Daphnia pulex: one gene and its partners. The protein of the gene in region 3 purifies or fractionates together with the protein of the main gene of each other region. This does not show direct contact. Links are inferred from orthologs where the notes say so. Each region holds a gene or a part of one and is shown on either strand. Other genes may lie near its edges. The genes, in order: phosphorylated adapter RNA export protein-like, importin subunit alpha-1-like and nuclear cap-binding protein subunit 2-like.

What was found.
Region 1: the proteins of nuclear cap-binding protein subunit 2-like (region 3) and phosphorylated adapter RNA export protein-like purify together in Homo sapiens (affinity purification with mass spectrometry; 5 studies listed by BioGRID and IntAct, with this or other methods). This does not show direct contact. The link is inferred for Daphnia pulex from reciprocal best matches to the Homo sapiens genes NCBP2 and PHAX.
Region 2: the proteins of nuclear cap-binding protein subunit 2-like (region 3) and importin subunit alpha-1-like purify together in Homo sapiens (affinity purification with mass spectrometry; 4 studies listed by BioGRID and IntAct, with this or other methods). This does not show direct contact. The link is inferred for Daphnia pulex from reciprocal best matches to the Homo sapiens genes NCBP2 and KPNA2.

Annotation. Positions count from the first base shown.
Region 1 is NC_060019.1:7,576,920-7,580,824, forward strand, and holds phosphorylated adapter RNA export protein-like, read right to left. Parts: upstream 2,507-3,905; 5' UTR 2,327-2,506; coding exon 2,276-2,326; intron 2,187-2,275; coding exon 1,410-2,186; intron 1,347-1,409; coding exon 1,160-1,346; intron 925-1,159; coding exon 728-924; 3' UTR 592-727; downstream 1-591. UniProt on the Homo sapiens protein: A phosphoprotein adapter involved in the XPO1-mediated U snRNA export from the nucleus.
Region 2 is NC_060028.1:48,941-53,247, reverse strand, and holds importin subunit alpha-1-like, read left to right. Parts: upstream 1-1,453; 5' UTR 1,454-1,606; intron 1,607-1,839; exon of another isoform or gene 1,840-1,877; 5' UTR 1,878-1,900; coding exon 1,901-1,963; intron 1,964-2,029; coding exon 2,030-2,198; intron 2,199-2,258; coding exon 2,259-2,406; intron 2,407-2,465; coding exon 2,466-2,721; intron 2,722-2,778; coding exon 2,779-3,331; intron 3,332-3,395; coding exon 3,396-3,673; intron 3,674-3,854; coding exon 3,855-3,956; 3' UTR 3,957-4,201; downstream 4,202-4,307.
Region 3 is NC_060026.1:16,276,586-16,279,519, reverse strand, and holds nuclear cap-binding protein subunit 2-like, read right to left. Parts: upstream 1,615-2,934; 5' UTR 1,419-1,614; coding exon 1,380-1,418; intron 1,235-1,379; coding exon 1,148-1,234; intron 1,088-1,147; coding exon 993-1,087; intron 929-992; coding exon 790-928; intron 732-789; coding exon 633-731; 3' UTR 536-632; downstream 1-535. Other genes in the region: hsp70-binding protein 1-like, read left to right, coding at 1,971-2,256, 2,321-2,542, 2,603-2,758, 2,818-2,934. UniProt on the Homo sapiens protein: Component of the cap-binding complex (CBC), which binds co-transcriptionally to the 5' cap of pre-mRNAs and is involved in various processes such as pre-mRNA splicing, translation regulation, nonsense-mediated mRNA decay, RNA-mediated gene silencing (RNAi) by microRNAs (miRNAs) and mRNA export.

The DNA of each region.
Region 1 (3,905 bases), on a different chromosome or scaffold from region 3:
ATAATCACTGTTATGAGGGATTACTTGTTGCTGCCACTTGTACGGATTCTTTTTTAGTAAGAGAAATTAAAGAGATGGAGAGACCGCGAAGCGCGCACATAATGATTTAATCTCGAAATTTGTTGGTCAATGACGATTTGTTTCCAAATCACTCTTAAGGTTTTTTATTGTTTTGTATTTTTCAAAATGTGTTGAGTTGAAAGTTTCGCTGTGTTGTTGAGAGTGAAAGTTCCTGTTATCGAGAGTTTACTAGTTAACGACTGGGGAAGCCAATATGCATTACTGTAGGCGGCCTGATTCACACTAATGCACATTAGACATTATAAGTAGCATTTACGAACGAGTTGAATATTACTATACATAAATCCGCATTTTCGCCGGTGGAAGTAACACTCCTTATTATCTCGTACGAGTCGACTGTCTGAGTGGTTGTTTTGAACTTGTAAGGCTTGCAAGTGCATGCCAGGTTGTGTCGTAATAAGACGAATAATAACAATACAATTCATACTCTTGCGTCTTATTAGTTAAATTAATCCCTACACCTATATTGATTAAATCGTGGTTAATAATTTCATGTCCACGACGACAAAGAACTGGAAAGGTACTGTATTTTAAATCGTCTCGGTACAAACACGCATTAGCGTCAATGTTATATACGAGAAATAAACATACAATTAGGAGTTTTCTCAGGAATACATACTCAACTGTTCTTACGTTCAAAAATGCTTCATTCGGAATCGAAATGTATGTCAGTACAGTCAAGTACTTCACATTCAGCGATTTCACTTTGGATGGGCTGCTGCTCCATTATTGTTTCATTGTCTGATTTCATTAGCGGTTCAGTTGCTGTTGGTTGGGCGTCTTGTTGACTCTTTTGAATCTCCAGCTCGACTCGCGTTGGCAATTCAGGTAAAGTATTTGGCGCTAGAAAGTCCAAATAACCATTGATTGAATTTAACTTGATTGAACTGACTTTTATGGTTTGCTTAAAAAAGATGAAATTCTTAGTTGTAAATATTTTTAATTTGGCAAAGGTTAGAATATAAATATAAAAACGTAGTTGAACAAAAAAGAAGAGACGAAAAACTTCGCTTCCGCAAAGTTATCCTGCGAAATTAAGCAACGTTTCACTACCTGTAAGAATATGAATCATGATTACCTGGAAGTGATTTCTTTAATTTGTCTGCTTGTGTTTGCCGTCTTTTAGCTCGTAAAGTTCGTTTGTGTTGTTCTCTTGCTTTGGTCTCTTCGCTGAATATTTCACGAATTTTTTCCATCGGGATTTCTTCGTGATTGCGCAACAAGAAGAGGAAGACACCACCGGGAGTCCTTCTCCGAGATCCATCCTATTAATGTAAAGAGATTTTAATTTAAGTATATTCAAACTAAGAGAATGTATATAAACTTACCGCGATCAAGATACCTCCGTCATTTTCAGTTTCTTGCGTTTCGTAGAACAGTTTGATTGTTATTTCCTTGCCCAATATTTCAACTACACGGAGAATCAAATCCATCTTTTCTTCGTGAAGCTTTAGAGCTATATCCTGGGCCACTTCCATGACAGTAGATTTTTCAGTAACAGATAGCTCTTCAACACGCCTGAGTCTTGCTTTAACTTTGGATTTGGGGACAGTACTTTGGGGTTCTTTATCTCTCTGATCCATTTTCCTTTTTCGAGAATTCAACAGTGTTTGGGTTTGCTGAAGGCTCTGCTCAAAGTCTTCATCAACTGCCTTTTCTACTTTCACAGGAGCTCCACCTCCATATTTTTCATCTAAATCAGCAATCTTCTTCCGGATCCTTTGTTCAGTTTTTTCATCAATGTCTTCTTCTTCCAGGCGATTTTTCATGCACAGTACATAGTTATAAGATTCAACATCCCTAGACCTATCAAGGTAATTCTTGCTGTGATGCACATTAATGTCTTTAATGTCTTGTTCAAACTGATCCTCAAACACTACTGTACTCCAAACATTGTGCTTGCCAACTGGTTGGGCAGGTTTTAATGCTTTGGTTTCTGCTTTTCTTCGTCTTTTTGCTGGCCTCTGTAGTTGCTCATCACTGCTGCTTTCATCACTACTACTGCTTGACTCGCTCGATTCATCAGTATCTTCTGCAACTTGCTTGAAGGGTTGGTGTGCAGTAGTGAATGATGTAGGTCTTTCTAAAGCAGTATATGGCTCAATCTAATAAAATGAGATGAAGACACAGAGAAAACCAGAGAAGGGATGGATCGTTACAACCAATTTAACATTTAGCAGTAACCGTATCTTACATCACTATCGTCAGAAATTTCTCCGTCTTCAGTTTCATCTATATGTTGCATTATAAAACGCTATCCAACAAATTTTTACTTCTTTCAAAAAAGGATCCTGGAATTGAAACCAACTCAAGTGTTTATCAGCCGCTGGAAAATTCAGCAGTGAAGAGATATTGAAATTCAATTCACAACACAAGAAACGGTAGAGAGTCTAGACAGTGTTCAATGTTTTCTCGACGACAGAGACACCTAGTATCGGACGGATAGAACTAATAAGCGCGCGATCTAAATAAATAAAATGCCACAGTTAAATAAAAATAATATTTGCATTTGCAGTAGGCTAGTCCAATTAAATGACTCAATATTTCAGTTTTAAAGAAATATTATAAAGATATACAAGACGTATATGAATTTTTTAAAATAAATAAGTAAATAACAGACAACCAAAGGAGAAAGGACGTTGCAACAAAGAATAGACTGAGGCGGCGCTTTGCAGCTTGTTTGACTTGCAAGCAAAATCATTTCTCCTAAAAAAATTGTAACACAGAATCAGATCAAATGGCATTTGATTAGTTTCCTATTGGAAATAAGAAAAGACTTCAATATTAAAACAGCTTATATAATAGATATTTTGTAAAGTCCATGGTACTATTAAGTGCAAGAGAATGCGCTTCTTTTTTCAGATGAAATACAACGACAATTCGGGTATTTCAATGGGGAAAGCGAATGACCCGAAGTCAATATGCTAAAATCAAAACTACGCCAAGCTAGTCACCAGACTTTTCTGTCACGAAACAAATCAGATTTTAAAAAATAAGTCGTGTTACAAGTCAAACTAGTCTTGCATCAAATTGGACGGTACCAACGCAAGGATTACACCCGCCCACTCGAGTACGAAAAGCTGTTAGAAGGAATTCCTTTTGTCGGTGCCAGCTGTAAGACTAAGAAGACGTATTCCGAAATAAAACGAAATTTAAAGCACATTAAATTTATTTTAATTAATTTAACGATGCCTTTTCTTCGGTTTTACAAACACCTGATGTTTTCACAATTCACATCGTAGGAGATGGAGATCGTTCTGCGAGATGAAATTGAAAACCTATCTAGCTGCAAGGCATATCACATTTTGAACAGTTGATATTTTGTATCAGTTCAAGACTTTTTCCCCTTTTGTTGCAAGAACAATTTTGTGTGTTTCAACTTTCAAGCTTCATCTGAAAAAGGTAAATTTAAAATTTCTATTTAGTAAATTATAGGCCTAGTTTGGTAATGATTGTTTGCTAGTAATGACACACTAATAATACTTAATGGTATTTTTTGGTATATGAGACAAAGCAAGAACCTATAAAATTTCCCTAGGATTTTTTGTGCACACTTGATTTAATTTGTGGCCAGCAAAGAAGCATTAATTTGACGGTCTGACCAACAGTTTAAACAACTAACATGCAAAACAACCAAATGATGTTGAAATCATTTCAGCTTTGACATATAAAATATGTTTTTAAATTCTTCTCATGTTTCATTTATTTGACATAAGAAAAATGACTTTTGACTACTTATCATTCCACAAACATTATTTTGTTGATGTGAGTATTGAGAATTGAGATTGAGAGTAGAATAACATCTTCGGCATGGATTTAACTCT
Region 2 (4,307 bases), on a different chromosome or scaffold from region 3:
GTCAAAACAACTCACCATGGCGACAACCAGGCAGACGGCAACCAGAAGGAAGAGAATCGGAAGGAACTTCATTTTTTATCTAGGAGATCAGACGTGGGGGTTTAGGAATTCAAACGCCCAAGTGGGTCGTCATTTTATAGTCGAGCCGCATTTTTCTATGTCGATTATTTAAGTAGCGCCAGTTGAACTATCGGATTCAAATGAAACTTGACAATTTACGAGGGGCTGGAAAATGATTGGACGTGATACGAATGTGTTGGAATAAACACCAACTGCAACACCAACTTTGCAGGGTCGTTGTAATCCAGTTGAACCGATGACGGGAGTTGCAGCTGTTCACGTTGGATTTCTCCGTTTCTTTTGGAACTGCCCGGCGGATTGCAACTAATTGTGGGGAAATTGGAAATGAAAAGGAATTTTAGAGTCTATTAGCACACGTGACCTAATCACAGAATATGATTAGTTTTTAAGAAACGTATAGACTGAAAAATGTGTTTAACGTATTACGTGCACACTGTCCAGCACGGATTTTACGACCACCTGTGTCGGAATTAGCGATTCCAACTGAACTATATTTGGTACGCTCTGTTGATCAAACTTGTCGAAAGGCTAAACGGTCCCCTCTTGCAGTCGGATGAAACTGATTTTTAAAAATAAAAGTTATTTGCCTGCCACTGATTTAATAAATTAAATGAAATAAGATATATAACTTGAATTCACAACTGTTAGTGTTTAAAGCAATTAAAACGTTTTAATTTCTACAGAAAGTTTAGAGATCAGACAAGAGACATTGTAAATCTAAATTTCATTCTGTATGTTTGGTATCACAGCTAGGCCTACCTCATTTCGTTAGGAAGATGTATTAAAATGAAGTTTCTTCCATACTTTATCTGTTGATTCTGTTCACACTGATTTTGGATGATACTCTTACAACTGATGGAAAATTTGGTCTGAAAAATATTTGAAAATTTAGTATAAATTAATTTGGGTTGTGGGAGAAAACTTTTCTTTCTTCCAGATGGCAGTCTAAAGTTTAAGCTTTCAGGAATCGGCTGGCACTGGCTGGTATTCAAATTTTTGCCACTTTTTTAGTTTGGAAAACAGTTTTATATAAATTGAATGTTCAAGATTACTGGATCTATATTTGTATAACTTCTTCCTGCCAACATAAAAATTGTTGATGCTAGTTTTATGAAAACTGTTTAAACCAGGGGAGAGATCTCTGACACTGTCATTTGGACATCATCATACATCATGTTCTTAAAGAAAGACTTCCAACAGATCATTAAGTCAGAAGGTTAATTAATGAGAAATCCTATGGTAACAAATTCTTATTAAAATCAATTATCAATTTCAGTTAAATTCTATTATGACCAGCTCCATCGGCGTTTTTCATTTTCTGCTTATTTTGAAATTTTAAATTTTCTCGTCTGCTTATACGTTGCCAGATTTGATCCCATTCCGATTGCATCAATGAATAAATTTGGCAACAGGCAACGGTTAGGTTTGAAATTCCCTCCCCCTTCTTCTTCTTCGTCGTCTGGAATTCTCTTAGCGATCAAACGGTCACCATTCATCAATTGATTCTTGCTCACAAGTCCCGCAGGTAATTCCTCTCTCTATTAATTTTCAATTTTTCTGACATTCCCACGTGGAATAATAGTTTACTTCTTGCTTCGACTATAACAAATTGTGAAATAATGGTATGAGTCATCATTGACACATTTTTAACGACTGCCATAGTCTGGGAAATTTTGCACGTGGCGCGGGAAATTTTTTCTCTTTGTTGCTTCATTGTCTCGAGTCCCATTTCTCATTTTTCTTTTGTCATTGTGCCAGATTTGAAAATCCCTTTTAGAATTCTCTTTCTTTGACAGCTGGAGTAAATTACACTATCACAATGCCTACTGAAGCAAATCCCAGCCGGTTGAAGGACTTCAAGAACAAAGGCAGAGATGTTGAGGTAAATACCTTAAAATAACTAGTGTCAGTTCTCAAATGTAACAGATTTTTCATCTTTCTTGTTCAGGAAATGAGGAGGAGACGTACAGAGGTGAATGTTGAGTTGCGGAAAGCCAAGAAGGAAGATCATTTGTTGAAGAGACGTAACCTTGAAATCGATGATGAGCCCCTCAGCCCACTCCAAGAACAGAATCGGATGGCTGCAGCAAATATGAGCATTGAGGACATAGTCAATGGTATGTGTGCATCAGTTTTTATTTCTGAGTTGCTTCTCATATGTTTTTCATTATCGTTAGGTATCAACAGTGGTGATGAGAACAAGGAGATCACTGCAACCCATGCTGCCCGTAAAATCCTCAGCAGGGAACGTAATCCACCCATTGACATCCTCATTAATGCAAATGTTGTTCCGAAGCTGGTGGAGTTTCTCAGTCGTGTCAGCAAGTATGTCAAGTGTCTCTTTTGGTTTTTGAACATTTCCTAATGGTCTTTCTTTGTTTCAGCCCCGATCTGCAGTTTGAGTCAGCCTGGGCTCTCACCAACATTGCTTCAGGCACATCTGACCAGACAAAGGCTGTCGTCAGTGCTGGGGCTGTCGCTGGCTTCATTTCCCTGTTGGGGTCACCTCATCCAGTTGTGGCAGAGCAAGCTGTTTGGGCTCTGGGTAACATCGCCGGAGACGGACCAGAGCTTCGTGATCACGTCATCGAGCAAGGCATTATCAAGCCTCTGCTTACTTTGATTAAACCTGATACTTCGGTGAGTTTTATTTTAAATTTACGTTCGTGTGCAGTTGTTAATTGATTTGATCTATAGGCCACATTCTTGCGTAATGTCACTTGGACTTTGTCCAACTTGTGTCGTAACAAGAATCCTCCGCCCAGTGTCCCTGCCGTCCGGCAACTGCTTCCCGCATTGGCCCACCTGATCCACAACAACGACAAAGAGATCCTCGCCGATGCTTGCTGGGCTCTTTCTTACCTCACCGATGGCCCCAACGAACGGATTCAGGAGGTTGTCGACGCCGGTGTCGTCCCACGGCTGGTCGCTTTGCTGGACCACGTTGAGGTGGCCGTGATCACCCCCACTCTGAGAACAATCGGGAATATCGTTACAGGAAGTGACATTCAGACCGATTCCGTCCTGGCTGCTGGTGCCTGCCCGTTGCTGGCCAAGTTACTCGTTCATGCTAAGATGAACATCGTCAAGGAGGCTGCCTGGACCGTGTCCAACATTGCTGCCGGCAATGCCATCCAGATTCAGGCTCTCATCACCAACAATGTTATTCGTCCGTTGGTGGATGTGCTGGGCAAAGGTGACTTCAAATGCCAAAAGGAGGCAGCTTGGGCCATCACCAACATCACTTTAGGTAACTTATTTCATTTTTACTGGTGTTTTATTGATTTTTAATTGATTTTTCTTATTCATTTCAGGTGGCAATGTGGAGCAGATCGCCTTGTTGTGCCAGTTTGGTGCCATCGCTCCGCTGTGCACTTTGCTGGAGGCAAAGGAACCCAAGACCATCTTGGTCGTGCTGGATGGATTGGCTAATATTTTGGCCGCAGCTGAGAAAATGGGTGAATTGGAGAAAGTTTCCCTTCACGTCGAAGAGTGTGGTGGTCTGGACCGCATCGAAGCTCTGCAGAGCCACGACAATGTTGAAATCTATCACAAGTCATTGGCCATTCTGGAGCAGTACTTCTCAACTGACGTAATTTATTCTTTTTTTATTGTTTCTTTTTTTGGGTTTATTTCAATGATTACCACAACTGTTCACATTCATAGTGTTTGTGCTGACAACTTAACCATTACTGAGATTTTAGAAAATTAGTTTTATTTTGAAATAGTGTTCTTGAATTTGATTTAATCGTTTTTGTTTGTTATTTCGACAGGGGGATGAAGATTCCGAGTTGGCGCCATCTACATCGCAGAGTGGCAATTACGAATTCAACAACTCGCCATCTCAAGCCCCCGAAGGAGGTTTCTCATTCTAAATTTTGTATAATCTAAAAATTCTTTTTGATTTTTTTCTGCCTTTACAACGGTAAATATATTCTTCACTTTCTTGAACGCTATCCTAATCATGAGTTTTGGCCTTTTCTTATTTCAAAGTTTTTTTCTAAATTGTTTTTTAATTGAAAGTTGCCATTTGCTTTCATTTCTGTCCATGCACGACGTCTTCTTTCCTCTTTCTCAATGCGCGATAAACGAGCAATACAAAACAACTCGATCAACTCTACATTTGATAAGTTTTGATTTTGTCGTGCTAGTTTTTATTTTTTGTATTTCAAGTTGATTTCCTGATTCCAGGTTGTTGGCTGCTTACAGTTAATCCGTGTTCTGAC
Region 3 (2,934 bases):
GCCCAGAAATATTCAAACAGCCAACACCAGATACACACACACTCACTCAGTACAATTTTCCTGGTAGTTCAGATGCACGTTGAATGTCACGTCAAGCACATTCTTTCTTCGAACGATAAATAAGTTAGTTTTAATTTGGAATAACTAAACAACTACCGAGCAATCAGAAATCGATACCATTTCCATTTTGGAAATCATCTAATTGATCAATGATCATTGAATTAGCTTCACATTTGACACAAATTCAATTGTGACATTCGTTATAAGTTGCAGACGACCACTGGGAATTGAATATTCAAATATTTCTTTGCATGTAGATGATGGCGTGCATCACGCGGCCGCAAAAGCTCTTCTGGGAAACTACCCGCTTCGCTTTGAAAAGGAAAAAGCTTTGGGAGTGACAGATCACATGGCAAGAGATTCTAGTGTCCCCACTTTTCGATCGATAAAATCCAGGCCAACCGGACTGGCAGATGGAAACATGACGAGAAACGTCTTCTTTCACAGGTAAAAAAGATTTTGTTTAGGAAATCAATTCAGCATGGTCTGTTTTAATTGAGGATAACACTTGTTGACATTTGTTAAAAAAAAAAACACACAGAGATGAATGAATACAGTATTTAGAAATGTTATCAATTGTTAGCAGCAGCAGATGTGGCCACCTTCTGCTGAATCATTTTGCCCCATCCTCCTCTGCCACCATCAAAGTCAGTTCGGTATTCATCTCTCACCTGCAAAACAGAAATCCATTAGTTGAGAACAATAAGTTTGAGCTGACGAAATGCTGACCTGTCCTCCAGTTTTGCCTCTGCCATATTGCCTTCCTTCAATGAAGCCAGCATCCCAGTCAGTTCTCACAATTCTGTCATCCAGTCTTGTCCCATTCACAAACCTGATGGCATTTTCTGAATCATTCCTCAGGTAAAACCTTGAAAGATAATTAGAAATAATTAAACACAATTTTGTTATTGGATTTGGTTGCAATGACTTACTCTACAAAACAAAATCCACAAGGGGTCCTAGTAAACTTGTCCAATCCCATGATGATTCTCTTGACATCGCCACATTTCCCAAACAATTCATGGATCTAAAATATTTGAAAAGATGAAATCAAATGGAACCAATTGTTGACTTGGAAGTATTTAACCTGTTCTTCAGTTGTGTAAAAGGACAAGTTTCCAACATACAGGGTGCAAGATTGACTCAACAGACGCTCCTGCTCTACCCGGGAACCCTGAAAGATGGAAATCAGTTATTTTGGCTTGAAATATCAAAATATTTTTAATTATTAAGGTATGCATTTCCATTTAAACATTAATTGCCTCAAAACTGTATATTAAGTTACATTTTCAATTCTGCTATCAACTCATGAGGCTTACTTTGAAATGTTGGTCTCGGTATGTGCTTGGAACCGCCATTTCTACGAATTATTTCGGGAGAACCAATCACACCGTTCACCCCAGTGTCTTCCGAATTAAGTGTCCTTGTATTCAGCCAATCAACCGGCTAAACTTTATGCGTTTTAAATTACTAAAATTGGTGTGGTTTTTTTCTAAAAAAAAGTGTGCGTTGACACAACAAACCTGACGCGAGTGACTTTCGAAAAGATGCTTATGGCGGCCGCTAGGTTACGTCACTTGCTAGAAACCCATTCCGGCGTTAAACTACAATTAAAAACCAAATAAAAATATGACACACTTTCGCAGATTTTTTCAATAATTTTTTAAAATCTCAATGAATTTTATCCAAATCTTAATTAACTTAACAGGTTTGTTTTGTAAATGTCAAAATTTTTTAAGTTATGCGAGTCATGCCTAGATGGCTCTTTTTATTCCAGACTCTTCTTGATTTTGCTAGTAAACAGTTTCATTGACGTCTGCTTGCCCCATGCGTTCACGGTTTAACTTGCGTACTGCGTCTTATTCTTCATAAATATATAACAAGTTGTTGTTGAGATCCTTAGCAAAACAATGGAACCCCCACGACAACCAAGAGATATGCAAGGACTTTTAAGATTTGCCATCGAAGGCACCGCAGCTGAAGATCGTACCACAACCACATCGATGAGTGAAGAAAGGAGACGCTGGTTAGAAGAAGCTCTAAGAGGATTGTCAGTCGACGTTGTAGCCGAAATATCAAAATCGTTAAATATCCTCAATCCAGATCGAGTCGAAAGTCCTGAAGAAGATCCCCAGGAGATGGAGGAAGCATTGGAAATGATTACTGACTTTGCCGATTCCATGGACACGGCTAATGGTATGAGATATCTTTTTTTATTGATTGAATAAAACATTGACACTTGTTTCGCTTGTTTCTCCAGACTTTCACAAGATAGGAGGATTTTTCATCCTCATCCCCTGTTTGAATTCTCCCCACGATGGAGTTCGTTGGAGGTGCTGTCAGTTGATTGGCACCCTCACCCAGAACAACCCATACTGCCAACAGCATGTGCTCAACGAAGACCTATTGCCAATTTTGCTTAAAATGCTGGAAAACGATGACTGTGAAGAGGCGAGAATCAAAGCCCTGTACGCCATTTCATGTAATGAGCAGATTTACAACTCACACTAAGGGAATTCAGTTAACAATTGATTGATTATAGGTTTGACAAGAGAATGTGCAGAAGCCCAGGATGCATTTGTGCATTGTGATGGTTTCTCGTCTTTACTGAGAGCACTGCAATCATCACTCGGGAAACTGAAAATCAAGGCTTCATTCTTGTTGACTTGTTTATGCAATGAGAATCCATCCTTCAAAGGTTTTATTCACATTCATAAGTTTCTCCATTTGTACTCTAACCAATACCCTGTTTACTAGATACTTTATGTAATATGGGATTTGTGGAGCAGTTTGTGGCTCTGCTTCAACGAGATCACGACTCGACTCACGAACATCTACTGGCCGCCTTGCTGGCACTTACCCAGAGCCACCCCC